3 linked regions of the Saccharomyces cerevisiae S288C genome follow. The protein of the gene in region 1 interacts with the protein of each later gene in a pairwise test. Each region holds a gene or a part of one and is shown on either strand. Other genes may lie near its edges.

Evidence for each region. Proteins that work in one complex are often made in the same cells at the same time.
Region 2: the proteins of RSA3 (region 1) and URB2 interact in binary tests that used the Saccharomyces cerevisiae proteins (3 or more experiments, as listed by UniProt).
Region 3: the proteins of RSA3 (region 1) and URB1 interact in binary tests that used the Saccharomyces cerevisiae proteins (3 or more experiments, as listed by UniProt).

The regions. Positions count from the first base shown.
Region 1 is NC_001144.5:576,084-582,402, reverse strand, and holds RSA3 (Rsa3p), read left to right. Parts: upstream 1-3,378; coding exon 3,379-4,041; downstream 4,042-6,319. Other genes in the region: IFH1 (Ifh1p), read left to right, coding at 1-170; U3 snoRNA-associated protein UTP13, read left to right, coding at 632-3,085; CCC1 (Ccc1p), read right to left, coding at 4,610-5,578; MSC3 (Msc3p), read right to left, coding at 6,066-6,319. UniProt on the Saccharomyces cerevisiae protein: Required for efficient biogenesis of the 60S ribosomal subunit.
Region 2 is NC_001142.9:508,135-515,677, forward strand, and holds URB2 (ribosome biogenesis protein URB2), read right to left. Parts: upstream 5,630-7,543; coding exon 2,105-5,629; downstream 1-2,104. Other genes in the region: GEF1 (Gef1p), read left to right, coding at 1-1,951; NUP85 (Nup85p), read left to right, coding at 5,921-7,543.
Region 3 is NC_001143.9:409,515-418,834, reverse strand, and holds URB1 (Urb1p), read left to right. Parts: upstream 1-1,921; coding exon 1,922-7,216; downstream 7,217-9,320. Other genes in the region: snoRNA-splicing protein PRP40, read right to left, coding at 1-525; ARC19 (Arc19p), read left to right, coding at 812-1,327; PUT3 (Put3p), read right to left, coding at 7,352-9,320. UniProt on the Saccharomyces cerevisiae protein: Required for 60S ribosomal subunit formation and pre-rRNA processing. Required for normal accumulation of 25S and 5.8S rRNAs.

The DNA of each region.
Region 1 (6,319 bases):
AAAATAGTAATTCCATGTGGAGAAGAAGGCAAAGTATGGTGGAAGCAGCGGCTGAAAATCTTCGTTTCACTAAAAATGGTTTATTTAGTGAGAGTGCATTGGCAGATATCGAAGGAATTATGGGCAATGATGTTAACCATTCATTCGAATTCAATGACGTCTTACAATGAGCTATTTTGCATTTTTTTATGGTTACTACAATCAAATCACCTTTCGTTTACAATATCATCATCAGTATGTGACTTTGCCTTATTCTACTCTGAATTTTGCTTTATCGTTGGTTGAAAAGAATTACATGTTATTTTTTTACTTATATATGCATATTTTTATAGAAAAACACAATCAATATTTTTTTTACTGGTATAATCCGTCCAATCAGACGTATAAAAGTAAATAAGCCTCAAGCAACCCCATTTGATGGATTGCCTTACTCTTCGACTCTAGTTGAGATGATAACCTCATCCACTCTTCTGGCGATTAAGATGGAGCTTCTTAATATATCCGTGTAAAGCGACTGAAAATTTTCTGAAAAATTCAGCTCATCGCTCTCAGATATAATAGCGGTATGGCATTAAAGGTGTGAACCAACAACATAGTACTCTCAACGGTAGTAAGCCATACTACGTACAATATGGATCTGAAAACCTCATATAAAGGTATATCGTTAAACCCTATTTATGCAGGAAGCAGTGCTGTTGCCACTGTTTCAGAAAATGGTAAAATACTAGCTACTCCGGTGCTTGACGAAATCAACATAATCGATTTAACCCCAGGCTCCAGAAAAATTTTGCACAAGATTTCTAATGAAGACGAGCAAGAAATTACTGCACTGAAATTAACTCCTGATGGTCAATATCTCACGTATGTTTCACAAGCTCAGCTTTTAAAAATCTTTCACCTTAAGACCGGGAAAGTTGTCAGATCAATGAAAATCTCTTCTCCATCGTACATTCTCGACGCAGATTCCACTTCAACGCTTCTCGCAGTCGGAGGGACAGATGGTAGTATAATTGTTGTGGATATTGAAAATGGTTACATTACTCATTCGTTCAAAGGTCATGGTGGTACAATTTCCAGTTTGAAGTTTTATGGACAATTGAATAGTAAAATATGGTTATTAGCATCCGGTGACACCAATGGTATGGTAAAGGTTTGGGATCTTGTTAAAAGGAAGTGCTTGCACACATTACAAGAGCACACATCTGCTGTGAGAGGGTTGGATATCATTGAGGTACCAGATAATGATGAGCCAAGCCTAAATTTACTTTCCGGTGGTAGAGACGATATCATCAATCTCTGGGATTTCAATATGAAAAAGAAATGTAAATTGTTGAAAACACTTCCAGTAAATCAACAGGTAGAGTCATGCGGATTCCTAAAGGATGGTGACGGTAAACGCATAATTTATACAGCCGGCGGTGATGCTATCTTTCAGTTAATTGACTCTGAATCTGGTAGCGTGCTTAAAAGAACCAATAAACCTATAGAAGAGTTATTCATTATTGGTGTACTTCCAATATTGAGCAATTCACAGATGTTTTTAGTATTGTCTGACCAGACATTACAACTAATTAACGTTGAAGAAGACTTAAAGAATGATGAAGACACAATACAGGTCACTTCGAGCATTGCTGGTAATCATGGTATTATTGCTGACATGAGGTATGTTGGCCCAGAGCTGAATAAATTAGCTTTAGCTACCAATTCTCCATCGCTTAGGATAATACCCGTCCCCGATTTATCAGGCCCAGAAGCTTCGCTGCCTTTGGATGTCGAAATTTATGAAGGTCATGAAGATTTGCTAAATTCATTGGATGCTACTGAGGATGGCCTGTGGATCGCAACCGCCTCTAAAGATAATACGGCTATTGTTTGGAGATACAATGAGAACAGCTGCAAGTTTGATATTTATGCCAAGTATATTGGTCATTCAGCTGCCGTAACTGCTGTTGGATTGCCAAATATAGTTTCAAAGGGATATCCTGAATTTTTATTGACAGCATCGAATGATTTAACAATTAAGAAATGGATAATTCCAAAGCCAACTGCTAGTATGGATGTTCAAATCATCAAGGTATCCGAATATACTCGTCATGCCCATGAAAAGGATATCAATGCTTTGTCAGTTTCTCCTAACGATTCTATTTTTGCAACAGCATCATACGACAAGACCTGTAAGATCTGGAACCTAGAAAATGGTGAATTGGAAGCCACGTTGGCCAACCACAAGCGTGGACTATGGGATGTATCATTTTGCCAATATGATAAATTATTGGCAACTTCTTCAGGTGATAAAACAGTCAAGATATGGTCATTGGATACATTCAGCGTTATGAAAACATTGGAAGGTCATACCAATGCGGTTCAAAGATGTTCGTTTATTAATAAGCAAAAACAACTGATCAGTTGTGGTGCTGATGGCTTGATCAAAATATGGGATTGTTCTAGCGGTGAATGTCTGAAGACTTTGGATGGTCATAATAATAGATTATGGGCTTTAAGTACTATGAATGATGGTGATATGATCGTAAGTGCTGATGCAGATGGTGTTTTTCAGTTTTGGAAAGATTGTACGGAACAAGAAATAGAAGAAGAACAAGAAAAAGCTAAATTACAAGTCGAACAAGAACAATCGCTTCAAAATTATATGAGCAAAGGTGATTGGACAAATGCATTTTTGTTAGCAATGACTTTAGATCACCCAATGAGGTTGTTTAATGTTTTGAAAAGAGCTTTGGGCGAATCAAGGTCTAGACAAGATACCGAAGAGGGCAAAATTGAAGTCATTTTCAATGAAGAATTGGACCAAGCCATCTCTATCCTAAATGATGAACAGTTAATTTTGTTAATGAAACGATGCAGAGATTGGAATACAAATGCAAAAACACATACCATAGCGCAAAGAACAATAAGATGTATTTTGATGCATCATAACATAGCAAAATTGAGTGAGATACCCGGAATGGTAAAGATAGTTGATGCAATAATTCCATACACGCAAAGGCATTTCACAAGGGTTGATAACTTAGTTGAACAAAGTTACATATTAGACTACGCGCTAGTGGAAATGGATAAGCTATTCTAGGCAGTAAGTCCAAGATATTGAGCCTTTAAAAGCAAGGCAATAGCAACATATTATTTTGTAAACTAGATATATAAAGACAAAATGCATTGATGAAGCGGAAAGCTTAAAATAATTCGATATATAATTAGGTGCCTTTACGGGCATTGAAAACTTCTTTGCGCGAAGAGCTCATCACTAAAAATTTGCAAAAAACGAAGAGCGAAAACTTTCATATATTGTAGTAATATATACAAGAATTTAAACTGCCCACTTGAAATAGCACGGAAAGAACTAGCCATAATATATTATACAGGATGTCGGCAGGTGATATATCAGCCATAAATATCAAGTCTGTCAAAAAAAACAGAAGGAGGAAGAAGAGAAGAACAGCTGATGTTTCATCATCAGATTCTTCATCATCGGATCCATCATCAGAAAGTGAAAAGGAGGAAATCCAAAATGGGGCCATCGAAGAACACGTTGGAGAAAATGGTAAAAGTGATCATGTTTTCTCAAAAGGTAATGACGAAGACAAACAAGAGGACATTGCAATAGAAGTTTCGGATGTCGAGCTTACAGACGAAGAAAGCAAGGATTTGAAGTTAAATTCAAAAGAAGTGATAGACGATTTAACCAAAATTTCTTTGAGCAAGATCCCAGAGCCTACGAAATCTCAAAACAAGGAGGGTTTTATGAATGCATCGAAAATTGCCGAAAATATCAAGCTTGCGAGAGAAGAATACAATGAATTGGCAGAAAACTTTGTGCCCAAAGGGAAAGACAAGACAAAGTTAAGGGAAGAATACTTAAATTTACTTTTTGAAAACTACGGTGATGATATCAATCGTCTTAGAGCTGCCCCGGATTTCACGAATAAATCACTATCCATTTTGGCAGATGCTCTGCAGGAAGGCATAGGAATGTTTGATATTGGTGAACTAGAATTGGTCTTGAAAAATAAAGAAATGGAGAACTGAAAAATATTGCTTTAAATCTTTTTCTAAAAGTTTGTCATGTTTCCGCGGAGAATATATTGACGTGCACATTAATTATTTAGATAATTCTTCGATTTTTAATGAAGAGCGGTCCTGATCCAAGTTGTGCTTCATATGGTATAAAGCTGATTCCAGTATACTGCACGAGAAGTATATGTATGTATTTTGTAATTTATATAAAGGCAAAAAAAAGAAAAACACTTGGGCATAATGGAGGAGAAGATCTTATGACCTGATAGTCAAAGAGAAAAAGAAAAAAGCAGAAGGAGCAAAGAAAGGCGGCGACCAAATGACGAATTAGATCCAATGAAAAACGATTCAATGCGAATAAAGGTTATCATGGATCACCTGATGGGCCTCTTGGCAATAGAAAAAGAAACTAGTTTGAAATTCATTAATATAAATAAATTTAAAGAGGAGAATATAGAAACAAATTAAAACGTAAAAGAAATGTATGTCGAGAAAATCCAGCCCAGTTCCAAGTATATAGCAAAGCTTCTCAATCCCAAATTTCTTTACAATAAATATGTATAGTGTTGTTACTTTACACTTAACCCAGTAACTTAACAAAGAACCAAGCCGCACCTGCTGCTACACCACCCACAACAACCATTTCAACACCTTCCGTAACTTTCTTTGAAGTCGAACTGCCACTACCCATGGATAGTTTTGTCTTTACGTAACCAAACCAGAATAATGTTACAACCATGACTATTATAGAATAAATGAGACCTGTGCCCACATCTGAGACAAAAAAATATGGCACTAGTGGTACTAGCCCACCAAGTAGATAACCGCCACCGATAGTGACTGCACTGATTAGTTCTCTATTCTCGGCAGGTTCGTCTAGACCCCTACCGTACCTGATAATGAAGTCAACCATTAGCTCAGGTGTTCTTTGTAAATCTTTGATGAACGAAACGATTGTTTCGTCCGAGAAATTAGGGTTAATCTCTAACAGAATGTCTTCAATTTCTCTGTTAATTAGGTTGGAGTTATCGTAAAATTTCCTTTTCTCCTTCTTTACTTCAGCATGATAATAATCAGATTCACTCTTCGCTCCCAAATAGCCACCAAGGCCCATAGAAATCGCACCTGAGATCAACTCAGCAAAGCCACCGGTAATGACCAATTTCGCATCACCAAGTGAAGATAGACCAGCTGTTAGAGCAAAGGGGACGGTTAAACCGTCGCTTAGCCCGATAATCAAATCGCTAATTACGCGAGGATCTACTGATTGGAAGAACCCTAGGTTCGCCTTTTCGTTATCCGAACCGTTATCGCCATTCCTATTATCTTTCCCTACTGACATCGGTGAGTTTTCTAGATCCTGCGCTGAATTTCTACCATAGATAATATCCGAGCTAGATGAGGATAAGTTATCATGCCTTGAACTATTGCTATTACTACCCCTCAACAAGGGAGTTGATTCAGACCCCCCCAACTCTGAGGTTCCACCACTACCTTTCGCTTTCTGTATAAGGGTCACCACTGCGTTCTTTAGTGCTACAATGGACATAATATTTGTGTGCACGAGATATGGGAGGACAAAAAAAAAGTTTCTTTGTTCAATATACCAATAAAAAAAAAGAGTCTAAAGGCTTCGTTCTGTTATATTTCTATTCTATAAACCTAAAAAAAGCAAAAATTGAGAGTGATGTCGCTTTAACTTGATTATTTGAACTATTTTGTTTTGTATCAATTTTTCATATATAATCTTAATTTTACATCTTCATTGTGAGACATTCGGGCTAACAAAGAAAACAAAAAATGCGGGTCACGAAAGGGGTACCGAGCCAATGAGAAGAGGGTATGTTAGTAATATTAGTGAGAAATGCGGCGCGATTGGTCCAGACCGAAAAAAATCAATATTATTAAACTGTAAAAGTTATATTAAAAATTAAGTTACATTAGTAATTGAAGTTCACAAGAAGAAAAAGAAGAGAATAAATCTAAAACCAGGCTTCAAAAATTAGGGTTGATTGCAAAATTCGAGTAAACAACTGCTAACGGCTGCTTTTTTTCTTGAACAGTTTAGTGAAGAAACTGGACTTCTTGTGCTTCGTGGGAGGATCTTGTGTTTGAGCCTGTATTGTCTTAGTGGCATGTGTCGAAGTGACCATTGTTGGCTCAGCGGCAGATAATTCATTCGTCGATGATGTTGTTGGATCCGTGGCGTCTTCCTGACGCTGAGGGGTTTGGTCCTGTAAAAGCGAAGAAGAAGACTTTAGATTATCCTGCAGTTCCGGTGATCTTGTTC
Region 2 (7,543 bases), on another chromosome or scaffold:
AAGCAATTTACTACTGAAAAGACAAGAGTTTGAATGCGAGGCACAAGGGCTTTGGATTGCCTGGAAGGGACATGTGTCCCCTTTTATAATTTTCATGCTTTTGTCAGTCTTATTTGCTCTAATTAGTACACTGTTAGTCAAATATGTTGCTCCTATGGCTACTGGTTCAGGAATCTCAGAGATTAAGGTATGGGTATCAGGTTTTGAATACAATAAGGAATTTTTGGGTTTCTTAACATTAGTCATTAAAAGTGTTGCCCTTCCTTTGGCTATTTCTTCGGGATTAAGCGTAGGTAAAGAAGGGCCCTCAGTTCATTATGCAACCTGTTGTGGGTACTTACTCACAAAATGGCTACTAAGAGATACTTTGACGTATTCATCGCAATATGAGTATATCACAGCAGCTAGTGGAGCAGGTGTTGCGGTTGCTTTTGGTGCTCCTATTGGTGGTGTCCTTTTTGGTTTGGAAGAGATTGCTTCTGCGAATAGGTTTAACTCCTCTACCTTATGGAAATCCTATTATGTCGCCCTAGTCGCAATAACTACTTTGAAGTACATTGATCCATTTAGGAATGGCAGAGTTATTTTATTCAATGTAACATATGATAGAGACTGGAAGGTACAAGAGATTCCGATCTTTATAGCCTTAGGAATCTTTGGTGGTTTATATGGAAAATATATTAGTAAGTGGAACATCAACTTTATTCACTTTCGCAAAATGTACCTGTCCTCATGGCCAGTTCAAGAAGTGCTTTTTTTGGCGACGCTTACTGCTTTGATTTCTTACTTCAATGAGTTCTTGAAATTAGACATGACAGAAAGTATGGGTATATTGTTTCATGAATGTGTCAAGAACGATAACACCTCAACTTTTAGTCATAGGTTATGTCAGTTGGATGAAAATACGCACGCTTTTGAGTTCTTAAAAATTTTTACTTCCCTATGCTTTGCCACTGTTATCAGGGCCTTGTTGGTGGTGGTATCATATGGCGCCAGAGTTCCTGCCGGAATCTTTGTTCCTTCAATGGCGGTTGGGGCCACATTTGGACGGGCAGTAAGTCTACTGGTAGAGAGATTTATAAGTGGCCCTTCTGTTATTACTCCTGGTGCCTACGCCTTCCTGGGAGCAGCCGCTACCTTGAGCGGGATAACTAACTTGACTTTAACTGTGGTGGTAATAATGTTCGAGCTAACAGGCGCCTTCATGTATATCATACCCCTTATGATTGTAGTGGCAATAACAAGGATAATTTTAAGCACGTCTGGTATTTCTGGCGGTATTGCTGATCAAATGATCATGGTTAATGGATTCCCATATTTGGAAGACGAGCAAGACGAGGAAGAGGAGGAAACCTTAGAAAAATACACTGCAGAGCAGCTCATGTCCTCCAAATTAATTACTATTAATGAAACCATTTACCTTTCCGAGCTTGAATCTTTGTTGTACGACTCAGCGTCTGAATATTCTGTGCATGGTTTTCCAATAACTAAGGATGAGGATAAGTTTGAGAAGGAAAAAAGATGTATTGGCTATGTTTTAAAAAGGCACTTAGCCAGTAAAATCATGATGCAAAGCGTAAATAGCACCAAAGCTCAAACGACACTGGTATACTTCAATAAGTCTAACGAAGAGTTGGGACATCGTGAAAACTGCATCGGATTTAAGGATATTATGAATGAATCTCCAATCTCGGTGAAGAAGGCGGTGCCAGTAACATTGTTATTCCGTATGTTTAAAGAGCTAGGTTGTAAGACTATCATCGTAGAGGAAAGTGGAATTTTAAAGGGGTTGGTCACTGCTAAAGATATTTTGAGGTTCAAAAGAATTAAGTATCGAGAAGTTCACGGTGCGAAATTTACATATAATGAAGCACTTGATAGAAGATGTTGGTCAGTTATCCATTTCATAATCAAAAGGTTTACCACTAATCGAAATGGTAACGTTATATGATTAGACATTTATGTAATTTTTAAGGCGCTAGTATAGATTATTCAAAATTATATGATACAGACTTTTATCAATTTTTACTTGTTTAAGCTCCGTCACCCTGTTATTAAACGTGAGCAGAGAAATGCCTTTTGAAAACACACTAAAACACATAAGTTAATCTTCGCGCCATTTACCAACCTTTTTGTATTGGAGGTAAAGTGCTTTGAAATATTGTTTCCCAGGTGTGTCAAGGAAAGCGTTCAATTGATTCAACTCGTTCTGAGATAATATATCAAAAATCGCATGAATACCGGGCTGCAGACTCTTTTTTATGTTTAAACTGAACTGCGTCGTAATAGACAACTGTATATATTTCGTTAGAACCACAAGTACATTTTTTCTGATGGACTGCTTTATCAAACTTATCTTTGAGCTTAAGTTATTTTTCTGCCCATTTTGAGCGTTTGATACATTATAAGGCTCGCAGTAGTTCGTTATTAGTCTGGCTACGGCGTCTGCTGAATTTGCACACAATGTACCATCATGAATTGCTATTATTTCTAGTATCTGGCAAAGAACGGAGTTAAACAAATGGTGACGATTGGAAAATTTAAACCTGTGAACTAATAGCATATGATCTATCACTTCGATGATGTTAATAAAGCCTTCATTGATTTCATCCGTTGACTCATGGTTTACTATAAAAGCGAGAGTTTTTAAACAGAAAGGAAGCAGCATTTCAATACAGTATTGGCTGAATAGCCATGGTTTCGATACTAAGAACTCCTTGATAGCATTGAACAGTAGCAAGTATGACTTGTAGCCAAATTTTTCTATATCACAATAGGTGTAGGCTTCAAGTAAAGCTATCACAAATAGGTGATGACCAAGGTTATTGTCTCTTGCAATCCTTTTTGACATTATGATAAAAACTCTCACAAATTTTTCAGCACAAGGTTGGCTAATGGTGGAAAACGATTTAGCACTGTTCCAGAGCAGGCGGTTAAACGCATCAGGACCTTGTTTAAGACTTTCTTCCAAGCAGAACCCCAAGGCAGAATCGCACTTATCTGTATGCTCAATATTTAAGTACTCTGCAAAAATATACTCCAACTTGTTTTCTGTAAGGAGTGAATGAACCAAAAACATTTCCTGTTCTTCTGGCGCATGGTACACTTTTTTAGAATGATATCGAAGCATAATTTTGGAAAATATATCCAGAATTCTCGATTTATGCTTAGAAATATCGCCTTGTCCGGTCGTTATAATCTTGTACAATGTAGACATTGATATTCTGAAAAGGGGAATTGTTTCAGATTCAAAATTTTCAGAGTAGTTTTCCAAAATTTTAACAGCATAGCTAATTGCCATACCTTGTATATCTCTATGCTTGTTATCTGGTTTCAAAAATTTTGCGATAGTAAACCCGGCGATAATTAGTTTGCTATCACCATTGGACAATGACATTGACTGTTTAACGATATCGTAACCAGATTCTAAGAACTTCTCACTCACAGGCTCCTTTGCCTGTGACAGATGATTAGTCCAAACTTTTTCGAAAATAGATATTTTGTCTTCTATTTCCTTTTTTTCATCACCTGTCTCTGAAATGGCCATTTCGGGGCTCATTATTGTTTTCTCACATAATTCGTAGAAATTTGTTTCAATGTTGCTCTTGAAGGTCGGGCTTGACAATAAATGAAGGAGGCATTCTCTAGTAGCGGAATCAAGGCAAAATGATTCGCATGTTAGATTGTTAATGAGAGCCACTCTAACGTTTTTGTTGATGCATTGGATAGGAATTTGAATCAAAGCTTCTAGAGCGAAGGTTTGATGGTATGATGAAGCAAGCTTGTTTATTAAAGCGTACGTGATATTTGTCTCCTCAAAAATGTCATCATTTTTTAATAACGAAGATAAATTTGTCGAGTTCAATAGTAATGAATCAATTAAAGAAGAAATTTGTTCTCTTGTAAAGTTGTTGTTTACTAATGTTGCAAATTTGGACACAACAGAGTATGATAAGTTTGACTTTCTTTCTTCGTCAAGGATTTCAAAGTGCCTCATGAATTTTTTTTTTGCATCAGAAAGATCGAACGAAATATATTCTCTCAATTTGAAGCAATAAAAGAACAGTTCTTCAACATCAGCCGATGTAGTATCAAAAATATTAGAAGATAACACGTAATCGATTTTTTCTAGTTCCTCTGCAGGGACAATATCATCGTAGACTTCCATTATATGATACTTTAGGTCCCATTGAAGACTGTTATTAAATGATTCCAAAGTAAATACTTGAGATAAAATAGGCTTTACCTCATCGAGAGTTGCGCGCGATGCGCCCTCTGATAGTCCCTCCAAGCATATGCGTATTAAATATAAAGGAACCCTGTTGGTGGAATCGTGATTGACTTGGTCAAGTAAAGCTTGCAATAGATTTTTCCATTGTAAAGAAGATAAAGTGAACAATTGCTTCGTTATAGACTTGACATATGCAGGATGATTTATCAAAAAATAGGAATCGGGTCCTTTTCTGGAACAGTACTCATTTATTTTGGCAAAAAAATCTGATAATTCCCTTGCGTTAGCGTGTGATTGGATTATTAAATCCCAAATATGAGAGGAAAAGAGAGGATCGTTCAAATTTTCGAGCTGAATCAATTCAAGTAACCGAAAAATATGTTTAATAGCAACCTCGATATCCAATTTAAGGATAATTGGTATTAATGATAACACTCCAGATTCATCAGTCGACGCTAACATTTCAAGCAATAATGCTTCAAGGAACTCTTGAGATACGGTTTTCTTCGATTCCGATAAAAGATTCAGAAATCTGCATTCTAAACTAGGTTTCTTGGCACCTAAAATTGTAAAGATGACTTCTAGTTGAGCAAAATTGTCTTTTGATAAGAAAGTGACGAAAGTGGCAAAATAATAATAAGCCATATCGTCGGTAATTTCGGACGCATTCTCTTGGACAAACTTTTTATTTAATTTCATGTAATCTATGCGTGGTTGTAAAAGGAACTTTCCCATAAAATGAGATAGACGAATGAAGGATTGGTTTGAAGATGCAGAATTTTTGGTCTGTGCGAAATATCTTAAACTTGGTAGTAGCATATGCTTGCAGTAACAAGTAGCAATTTTGTTATCCGTTGTAGTAATATTGTCAACATGAGTTAGATTGCAGGCATCTTGCAAGTATGAAAGCGCAAAGTCAGTCGTCGGGCACGAACTTAATCCATTTATGGCATGTTCTAAAAGTTGAAAAGACTCTTCAACAGAAAAATTGACAATCAAGTAGTCATTAATCGCAAAAAATGCTTTTATAAACGAAACGCTACGTGTAAGTAATTTGTCTTTAGGCCAAAGGAAAAATGTTCTTATCATTACAGGCACAGTCTTCAATTTTTTGAGTAGTTTTTTTATCGAAATTGGATCATTAATAGCATCTAATAATCTCGTGAAAATTATCCAAGTATGTTCACTGGTCTTAAAATCATCCAAATTTCCATTGTTGAGCCTATCAATGAGTAAATCTAAGACGAAAATTTCTTTTTTTGGAAAGTAGGTTTCTAATTTATCAAATTTTGAAACTATCTCGGCAATTTGATGGGGTTTTGTGCTCGTCGAACGTAGTAATTTCGACAAATCTTGGGCATTGTCTGGGATAGATAGTTCTTCTGTAAGATCACCCATATTATCAAAAAGTGCAGTATACTCTCTGTTTTTCCAAAGATAATTGATGGCAAGCTAAATCTTAGACAGAGATGTTCCTATGCTAGTAAACAATTCTGTAGTTGTGACCAAGTGCCCTCTTAGCGATCATTTTGAGATGAGCTAAGTGAAATTTTTCAGATCGCGCACGACGGAGAGGTTTTTTAGTTGGATGGAAGTCAAGCCTTGTACAAATTGTAGTTGTATAGAAAACATTGAACTTACGGTCTTGAGTTGAGTCAATAAGCGTGAGCCAGAACGCAATTATCAGATATGACAATCGATGATTCAAATCGATTACTTATGGACGTCGATCAATTTGATTTTTTGGACGACGGAACGGCGCAACTTAGTAATAACAAGACCGATGAAGAAGAACAACTATATAAAAGGGACCCAGTCAGCGGGGCTATCCTGGTCCCTATGACTGTAAATGATCAACCGATTGAAAAAAATGGCGACAAGATGCCTTTAAAGTTCAAGCTGGGGCCACTTTCTTACCAAAATATGGCATTCATAACTGCAAAAGATAAATATAAGCTTTATCCTGTTAGAATTCCTAGATTAGATACCAGCAAAGAGTTTTCTGCATACGTATCAGGTTTATTTGAAATTTACCGTGATTTAGGTGATGACAGAGTGTTTAATGTACCAACGATTGGAGTTGTTAATTCTAATTTCGCGAAGGAGCATAATGCAACAGTAAATCTGGCCATGGAGGCGATTCTGAATGAATTGGAAGTGTTTATTGGTAGAGTCAAGGATCAGGATGGAAGAGTGAACCGATTTTATGAGTTGGAAGAATCTTTAACCGTTTTAAACTGTCTGAGGACAATGTACTTCATATTAGATGGTCAGGATGTAGAGGAGAACAGATCAGAGTTTATTGAGTCATTGCTAAACTGGATTAATAGATCAGACGGTGAACCAGATGAAGAATATATTGAACAAGTGTTTTCAGTGAAGGATTCTACAGCAGGTAAAAAAGTGTTCGAAACACAATATTTCTGGAAGCTTTTGAATCAGCTTGTTTTAAGAGGCCTGCTCTCCCAAGCTATAGGTTGCATTGAAAGATCAGATCTTTTACCATATTTGAGTGATACATGTGCCGTTTCATTTGATGCAGTAAGTGACTCCATCGAACTCCTGAAACAATATCCAAAAGATTCGTCCAGTACATTTAGAGAATGGAAAAATTTGGTGCTAAAATTAAGTCAAGCCTTTGGTAGTTCTGCTACTGATATTTCCGGTGAATTACGGGATTACATTGAAGATTTCTTGTTAGTAATTGGTGGAAATCAACGAAAAATTCTGCAGTATTCAAGGACGTGGTATGAGTCCTTTTGTGGGTTTTTATTATACTATATCCCCTCATTAGAACTATCAGCAGAATATTTACAAATGTCACTGGAAGCTAACGTCGTAGACATAACAAATGATTGGGAACAACCATGCGTCGACATCATTAGTGGTAAGATACACTCAATTTTACCGGTAATGGAATCTTTAGATAGTTGCACAGCAGCATTTACCGCTATGATTTGTGAAGCAAAAGGTTTGATAGAGAATATTTTTGAGGGTGAAAAAAATAGCGATGATTATAGTAATGAAGACAACGAAATGCTTGAAGATCTATTCTCTTATAGGAATGGTATGGCATCTTATATGCTAAATAGCTTCGCTTTTGAGTTGTGTTCACTGGGTGATAAGGAACTATGGCCCGTTGCCATTGGATTGATAGCCTTATCTGCAACAGGGACGAGAAGTGCAAAGAAAATGGTGATTGCAGAATTACTTCCACACTACCCATTTGTTACGAATGATGACATTGAATGGATGCTAAGTATATGTGTAGAATGGAGACTACCAGAAATAGCGAAGGAAATATACACCACG
Region 3 (9,320 bases), on another chromosome or scaffold:
GGGGTCATCATCGACCATCCAATACCTTGGATCTCTGGTCCCCAGTTCTGAAATAATTCTACTGAATGACCAAGTAGAGTCTACTTGATTTTCCTTCAGCATGGTAATAAATTCCTTCTCTGCTTCTTCTTTAGTCCTTCTCCTGACATTAAGCAGTTTAGAGTTATTAGCATATTGGCTTTCCTCCTCGTTTATAGTTCGTCCCGGCTCTTGTTTTTCTCCAGCCGTAAGGGCTATTCTATTTCCATTAACCTGTGCATGGGATACTGTATCATGTTTTTGTTCTGCGATGGGTTCTACTTTCTTCTCGAAGGCCGGAATAGTCCAGCTGGTTTCTCTTGTTGTTGGATTATAATAGTATACTTTGCCGTCTGCCGTCTTGGCCGCCTTCCAGCCATTTTCTCGAAGAAGTAGCTCCTCCTGAGAAATTAGTTCCTTGGGCTTCTCCCACGTAGATTTCTTTGTCAAAGTATTGTAATAATATATCCTTCCACTTGCATCTTTAGCTTCCTTCCAAATAGACATAGTTTCACGTCTCCCACCTCCGGCAATGCTTGTCTAGTGGTCGATCTGGCTTCAGACCTTGTTATCCTGATAGGTAGGCACGCTATTGCGATGTCATCAACTGCCAGATTTCCAAGTACATTATTATTGTCGATAATTTCATATCGTTTACCACGTCGCCCCTTTTGTATAGCAAAATACAATTATAGAACAAAAAAAGCCTGTAAAGCCAAGCAAATAGAGGCTTTCGGAACAACTCGGTGTCACTTTGACAAAAGATAAAAGAGGAAGCAACTGATAGTAGGAAATGTCACAATCATTACGTCCGTATCTAACGGCTGTTCGTTATTCCCTGGAAGCTGCGTTGACTTTGAGCAATTTCTCTTCGCAGGAAGTGGAGAGGCACAACAGACCGGAAGTTGAAGTCCCTAACACTAGCGCCGAATTGTTGCTCCAACCGATGCATATATCTCGTAATGAAAATGAACAAGTATTGATTGAGCCCAGTGTAAACTCGGTGCGTATGAGTTTAATGGTGAAACAGGCAGATGAAATTGAGCAGATTTTAGTTCACAAGTTTACTAGATTTTTGGAACAGCGTGCTGAAGCATTCTACATTCTGAGACGTGTACCAATACCTGGCTACAGTATTTCTTTTCTAATAACTAATAAGCATACTGAATCAATGAAAACTGGGAAATTGGTTGATTTTATTATTGAATTCATGGAGGACGTGGATAAGGAAATCAGTGAAATTAAACTGTTTTTGAATGCCAGAGCAAGATTTGTTGCGGAAGCATATCTTGATGAATTTGTCTATTAGATTCCTAATATAGGAAAGGGAATCTTTCTCCGTCAGGGCCCTATTGACGGAAAACTTTACGATCTGTACTGACTGTGTTAGTTTGCGTACTCAATTGAACTATTTCGAGACTATTTAGTTAGATACAATAACATGTGTATGTGAATTAATTATAAACGTACTTTTAAATTGCAGTTACTTTGTATAATTATGGTGATTTTTTTAGTACTTAAATTATATTCATAAAAAGGGATTAAAATGTTTCTCCCGACACCTAAAATTAAACTTCAATCTGTCAATTCTAACACAAAACGTTTTCATTTTACGTAAACAAATGAAGATTGAAGATTCTAAAGCATTTATTATTACTGCCGCACTAGTATACGACCAAACTAAAATTATATGATAATAGTGCACCAACATATAGTAAACAGCTTTTACCTATGCACGACTTGCATGAGGATTTCAATATTATATCACTGTAGACGAAATATGAAAAATTTCAGCAATAAAGCTCATCGCAAAGAATAGTTCGGTTATATTCTTGATTGGATATTATTTCTCTAATCTATGCGGTACTACTTCATCTAACAGAACTAGAGGAGCACTTACATAATGAGTAATCATAGCGAAGCCTATGGATCTCGCGACCAGAGAAGGGAGAAGTACACCCAAGGGAAAGAGTTCGAAGACGGTACATTAGAAACACTAGAAAGTATAATCAGTGCAGTCGAAGATGAAACTCTCTCCAAAGATTACCAACCTCTAATAGTGTTCTTCCAAAGAGGATTTGGTGCTCAATTGGTACAGACTTGGTCATATTATGCTCAAGTAAATAACCATGGGAAATTCTCGAAAACTACCTCATTACTGACTAAAACCTTACGAGTTTTGTCATCTGATACTAGTACAGTGACTATTGGGAGCGGTCTAATTAGATTGATATTGACCGATTACACAAAAGTTCTCTATAGAGGGTTGAACAATATGCGTGCGCAATTAACTAATCCAATTCTTCGTCTACTCAAACAAATAGTCAATTTCAACAATGGGCAACATATAGAGGAATTAGTTTCATATTTCGATTTTTCATTACCTATTTTACCAAGACTGTTGGTACCAAGCAAGTCTGAGTTAGCCAATGGGAATTCATCTGCTGATTCATCCAAACATGACTCATTAAGATTTACATTTATCAAGTTTTGGTTGACATTGATCTCAAATGCTTCCCCATTCGTGAGAAAAGAACTTTTGACAGAAAACTTTAAGATTATGAGCAACCTATTTAAATTCATGAATAAGGCTGATTCTGACAAGTTATCTGAGCACATACTATCGGTATTCATAAACGACATTTTAAAGGAGAAATCCTTCAAGAGAACTACTAAAACCAAAATTTTAAATGAACTAGCGGCTTCAAAGATTCATCACTTTTATTATTCATCAAACAAGAATTTGGTTAAGAAGGCAAATGAGTTTTTCTTAACTTTTGGAGCTTCCCGTGACTTTAGCGTAGCATTTCCTGATAATTGCGTTTGGTTCAAAAATTCAGTTGCTGATGGAGCTTCTCATGGAGCTCCGATAACCGTCAACCAAGTGGAATTTCAAATTCATAATAAACTTTTGTTCAACACTTTACGCCTTTTCAAACCTTGGGAAGATACGCTGCAATTAGGTACGTTGATCAAAATATTGGAGAACGTTCCCGAACTTGTTGCTCCTTACAGCATCTTTTTAACGACGAATGGTAACTATGACCCTAAGATGACTTCGTATTGGTTTGGTATAACGTTACTGATTAACAAGATTATTAATCTTAAGATACCGCAATTTATGGAGAAAGTTGATAGCAATATTCCACCTGCCACTTCATTAGTTATAGAAAACATTCTGCCATCTTTGCTCACCAAATCCTCGTTGGTTAAATCCCTACAATTTGAAACACCCATCATAAGACAATTAGCCTGTCAATCAATAGTTCTAGCGTTAAAAAAATTAGAAAAAGTTTCCACATTTTATGATCAAAAAGGCTGGAGAAATGAAAAAACTATTTTACTCAACGAGTTTCATACTAGAATTCCTGATTTACCAATCTTCGTATCTACTTTGAGCAATTCTTTGGCTTCCAATAAGGATAATAGAATTTTACCTCTGTCCATATCCATCATATTCAACTACTATAGTAAAATGTTCCCCAACCTCTTCTCAATTAACCTACCATCATCAAATATTTACACAGATATCATGCAAAAATCCAAGATTTCTGGCATAGAATTTGCTATTCTGGACAACTACTTACAATTTCAAGAATTTAACTCTACTCAAACCAGGTGGTGGAATCCAAGTTCTGGTGGAAATTCTTTATTCACCCTACTATTAAAGCTAGCATCCTCCAAAAATGCTTCTAACGTGATAACTACAAGAATATCCAACTTGCTCGATGAGCTGACGAGAACAAACGTTATCTTCAACATATCTTTAATTTCACCAGTGATGGCTTTAGTGAATAGTCTTCAAGGGCTTTCCCTTCAAGTTTCTGAAATTGACAACATGGAACAAGTCTGGAAGTGGTTTGACGAAACTATATCTCGTGTCGTAAAAACACCATACAAGTACGTCGATATGGCAAAAGAGTATAACTACATTTCTCCCTTCATAATGTGCCTTTCAGAGCAATGGAAATACGTTGACAAGAGTGGAAACCCAGAGTTTTTAATTAAATGGCTTATACTTTTTCTTAGAAACATGATTTTCATTGGTGAAGACCATATAGGCATAGATAAACTTGTTAAAAATGTCTTTCCTGAGGTCTCTGATCATGATGTTAATATATACTTGAAACTTGACTCATTTGAAGAAAACATAAAGAAAACTAATAGCTCTAATTCTTTAATTTCTTCAATGAAGAGCTCATCTTTTTTCCAGTATATTTCGGCGCTTCCATCTAAAAATCTAATGAATATTTCTAGATTACCAGTGAACAAATTAGATGCGGCAGGAATCCTTTTTAGAGTTCAGTTATTGGTAGAAGACGATTCTGTTGTATATGACAATTGGTTCGAAGCAACTGCCTGTGAGTTAACTGGCAAGATTGCTAGCTACATGGTAACAGACACAGAATTCCCAATTATCAAAGTTTTGGAAAGGTATATAAATTTCGCTTTACCAAAACTGGCCATTGAAAAAAGAAATGCTCTACTCATGAAAAAATCAAGGTTCATGTGCAATTTAATCGGTGCAGTATGCTTTGAAACAGGCCATCAATTAGTGGAATTCCGAGAAATAATTCAAAAAGTCGTGTTTAGTGGTGAAAATGTCGAAGAGTATGCCAACTATAATGAGTTGTATCAGAAAGAAGATGTAAATGCTTTCTTAACAAGTGTTAGTGAGTATTTAAGTACTTCAGCTTTAACTTCGCTACTCATGTGTAGCACCAAACTAGAGTCCACAAGAAACATTCTCCAAAAATTATTCAACGAAGGAAAAACTATAAAAATATCCCTTGTAAAGAATATACTGAACAAAGCTGCAAATGAAGATCCTGCTTCAATTAAGGAAGTAAACATCTCTTTGGCTAAATTTTTTGAAGAAAACAAAGTTTGTGTTGATGCTTCATCTGATCCTATGGGTAAGCTATCCCTTTCAGAAACTACTTCTCTGATAAATAGTTTTGTGTCTAGTGATTTGAATTATCTAGTACTGAAAGCTTTTTACAGATGGGAACATTTTTCTTTCCCATCTTTCATACCAAGTATCTGGAGGATCAAGGATTCACCTTTACTAAGTATTGTAACAACGGCTGCTTTGTTCAAGCACATGCAGGATAAAGATTTTAGCGCATTTGCGCATGAAACCATTTCCAAGTATGGTAATGAAATTGCGAAAAGTACTTACACTACCTCGAAAAGTGAGATTTTTGACGAAATATTAAATATGATTACCACTTATATTGATTTCTATGACGAAACGAAACGAAATGAAATTTTGAAATGTGTTTTATCACAGAGCGACCATAAATATCATGCTGCTACAGTAAGATACATAGCTGCACACAATAATTTTACTTATCCAGGGGTAGAAACATGGTTACATAAAACTCTTCTTTACCTTACAAAGTACCTTTCAGAAAGAAAAGTTATCTCCAATTCTTTTTTTGAGTTACTAAGAGCGATGGCTGAGCTCTTAAAACTTGAAGAGGTACCAAATAAGTTGAATGTCAAAATCATTAATTCTCAATTAGAGGCTATTCTAGGCAGTGAGTGGATCAAACAAATTAAGGTTCTTGAATACGTTATTGTATTAATTTTTTGTGTGAGCAAAAAGTCAATTCAATCGCAAAGAATGGTTCAACTTTTATTAAGCAATGACAGTTACTCATCAATAATGATTAAAGACAATGATGAAGATTCATCGTATCGAAAGTTCTTAAGCACAATGATATTATTCTCTTTATTCAGCATCGACCCGGTCGTAAATTCGACGCCAATAGTTCAAGAGAAATTATTGACTTTTTACTCCGGTACTATTTCCAGTAACGACAAGTTGATACTGAAAATTCTAGAAACTATCGAATCTCACACCGCTACTTCATGGACAAACATGATTTTTTCTTGGGAATTTATCAAAGACGAAGAGGAAGAAATCTTGGAAGCCATTGGAGACACGAGGCTGATTACCAAAGAAAGGGAGGGGTTGATACTAACACTACAAAAAAACATGATCAAAAAGTCCATTGACAGATACGTATTGGAAAGGCCTCAAGTCCCTGAATTATATACCGATTCTAATACAAACAATTATGATGCTACTACAAGGTGTGACCTAGTCAAAAAGTACTACGATGATACCGAACGATCTGGTGTTGATATGTACGATCCATTATTTTTACTGCTATTAATAATCCATAACAAAGAGCTGGTAAAAATGGTCAAAGATGACGAGGGCAATGTAACATACAGATATGAATTTGAAAATTTCCTTGATTGCAAAATATTTCAGTTTATTATTTGCTCATTAAGCGATTGTCATACCGTTGCCAATATAAGTTACGAACATTTATCAAATTTAGCTTCTTCTTTGGAGAAGAAAACTGCCCAGATGAATCTTGAAAAGCAAATAACTAGCAAGGATAATGAAAGAAAAGAATCTGATAGCGATTTAATCAAATATAATAGCATTTACCAAGTGTTGATTAAAAGGATTTTATACCAGAGACAACAAAATCAAGATCCTATCAATCCGTTAATTTGGTTTTCTATCTCTAGAATTGTTGATCTATTGGGAAGTCCAACTGCGCCCTTACATGAGAAGGCATACCGCTGGGTATTATCAAATTCTACCATACGTAGTTGGGACATCCCTATGGTATCTGATGTGATGATGTCCTACAATAAGAGACAACAAGATGACAATAAGAAAGAAATTGATATGGAAATATACTATGGAGAATTGAGTTGGGTTTTAACAACCATTTGTAAGGGAATTAAAACGGATGAAGATTACAAGATGTTAGAGAAGAAAGGTGTATTTGAATGGTTGTTAAACTTGATCAATATGCCATACTTGAAAGAAAGATTACGCGAACTAATCTATTTTATTTTTTACAAAGTCCAAAGGGTAGCAGATGATGGTGGTTTGAATTTAATTAGCAGAAACGGTATTGTGTCGTTTTTCGAGGTTTTGAACAATAACATCAAATCTAGACTACCACAGGACGATATACTGAACAACATTGGTACTTTACGGAACGAAAACAGAGGTACATTAAATACTACTTTGAGGTTAGCCCAAGAACAAAACGGAATTGAAAAACTACTATTAGGCTACAACGAGCTTGTCAAATCACAAAAAAGGCTAATATTATGGACAGAAGGTGATAGCGACAATGTTGTCAAGAGGCTACGTAAATGAGCTGTCTTGTGATAGATATTTTAAATAAGATTTGAAGAATTAAATGTCCACTTTTCTATATAATGTGCGAAATGTATAATATATGCATAAGAAAACAAAGAAATCAGTATTTTCTTCTTTGTCTTTGTAATGGTGTTATGGTCCTAAATAATCAGTAAAGTCAATTTCACTACCAGCAGCTGCAGTTGGATCCATAGTATTTCCCAGCCACATTGCTTGATCAGTGATTTCCTTCCAAAGTTTTTCATCGGAATGATCAATATTGCCTAAATCCTCCAACAATTGTTGTAAATCGTCATCATTTAGATTATGAACGGAATCCAACTGATCCATGTTTTTTTCCATCACCTGAGAGCCCTTTTCAGTTAGCGTGGTTTGGTATGAATTTTCCAAGCTCGCAGTTATGATATCAAAAAAAGTAGAAGGTTCCGAGTTATTGACGTTAATATCATTAACATCATTATTACCATTACTATAATCAGTCAGCGTTGGTTTCGCGCCTTCCGGAAGTATGCTAACAATGTTCGATATAGATTCGTTCTTGATCATATTTGTATTGGTGTTTGATTTATCACAGTCTATAATTGAAGGGTCAATGCGATCGCCATCTTTGTGAGGTTTACACTTTTCGGTTTCTCTTTTGGGTTCATTGCTATCTTCTACTATGTTATCGTTTTCACAATTCATAGAATCAAATTTCAAAATATCGTTATATTTAGTAATCAAGTCATTCATTATGCCGTGGAAATCCAAATTTGCCATTAATGTTAATAATTGTGCTCTTCTTAAGCCTGCTGGAATGTTGCCTAAGTTTCTCATTTGTGTGAAAATTTCCAGAGAATGATCCAAATGATATAGTGTTTGTTCATGAATACCAAAAGCAGTGTTGAATAGTAATAAAGTACAAGAAGAAGTAAAAAGATACTCTCTGTCCATATAACTAAACATAGCAAGCATACTATTCTGTAATAAACTCCACAGAGACCTAATAGTATTCACAGAAGCATGCAAAGAACATGTTAATAAGGAAGATATTGTGGCAGAATAGTTTTGTAAGTTGACGAAAGTATTGCTCGTTTTGAACCTTTTCAATTGAATGGATGCAAAATGAAATAATAAAGGTCTCACGGCCAAGTTTATTCCTTGAAAATATTCCGTAAACATATTGGTTGACAATCTCGATATTTTGAAATCTTCATCCTTTTGCGTAAAATCCACCTGTAAGGAATCGGACAAATTGTTCCTCCATTCCAACAACTGCTTGATGACAACTTTCAAAGTAATTATGATGTTTGTCTCAGGTTGCCTTTGATATAATTTGCTCAAAATTTGTGCATTGATTTTCACAATAGTAACGCAGTTAGAAATCAATTCTGCCTTTCTGAAAACATAGTGACTATTTTTCTCTTCGATAGTTTCATCATCAATATCCGCTGGCAGTGCTGTAGAGATTGTATAATCAGTGAAACTTAATGGTAACCCAGCTTTTGAGCTAAGCATTCGTTCAAACATGTAAACTGTCCACCAAAGTCTCCTATGATGCTCGATTTCATACCTGGATAGAGTGTCGCTTTGAGAATCAACATGTAAGCCTAGAATTAAGCACGTCCTTAGGGCTTGACCGAAGTAAAAATAAGAGGCTAAAGTGTAATCAGCCACCTGTAAGAAGAACGCGTATAACAACAGGACTTCAATACCGCCTTTCTTAGTCACATTTTCTAATCTTTCACTTGAGAACAAACAATTAAAAATTTTAGAACCCATTTGAAAAAATTTTGAACCGGGCAATTTTGGCTGATTAGAATAATTCTTCAACATTTCATTATTGATGGAACCCAGATACATTTCACCTACTGCTAAAATTAACAAAATTTTGCAAAACCAAACAGCTTGTAAAATTGGATCATTCTCATTGTCCAAAGCTTTTTTGGTATTATCATAGTATAGCCATTTATTTTCCAAGTACAATTTGTTAATGCCACATTTAACCAGGCCTTCGTTGAAAAAGTAAAAACAACCATCGTTATAATTTATAAAGCAGTCAATTAATAGTTTTGTGTAATTATACGAAGGCAACTGAAACTGTATTACCTCTTCCTGGCCA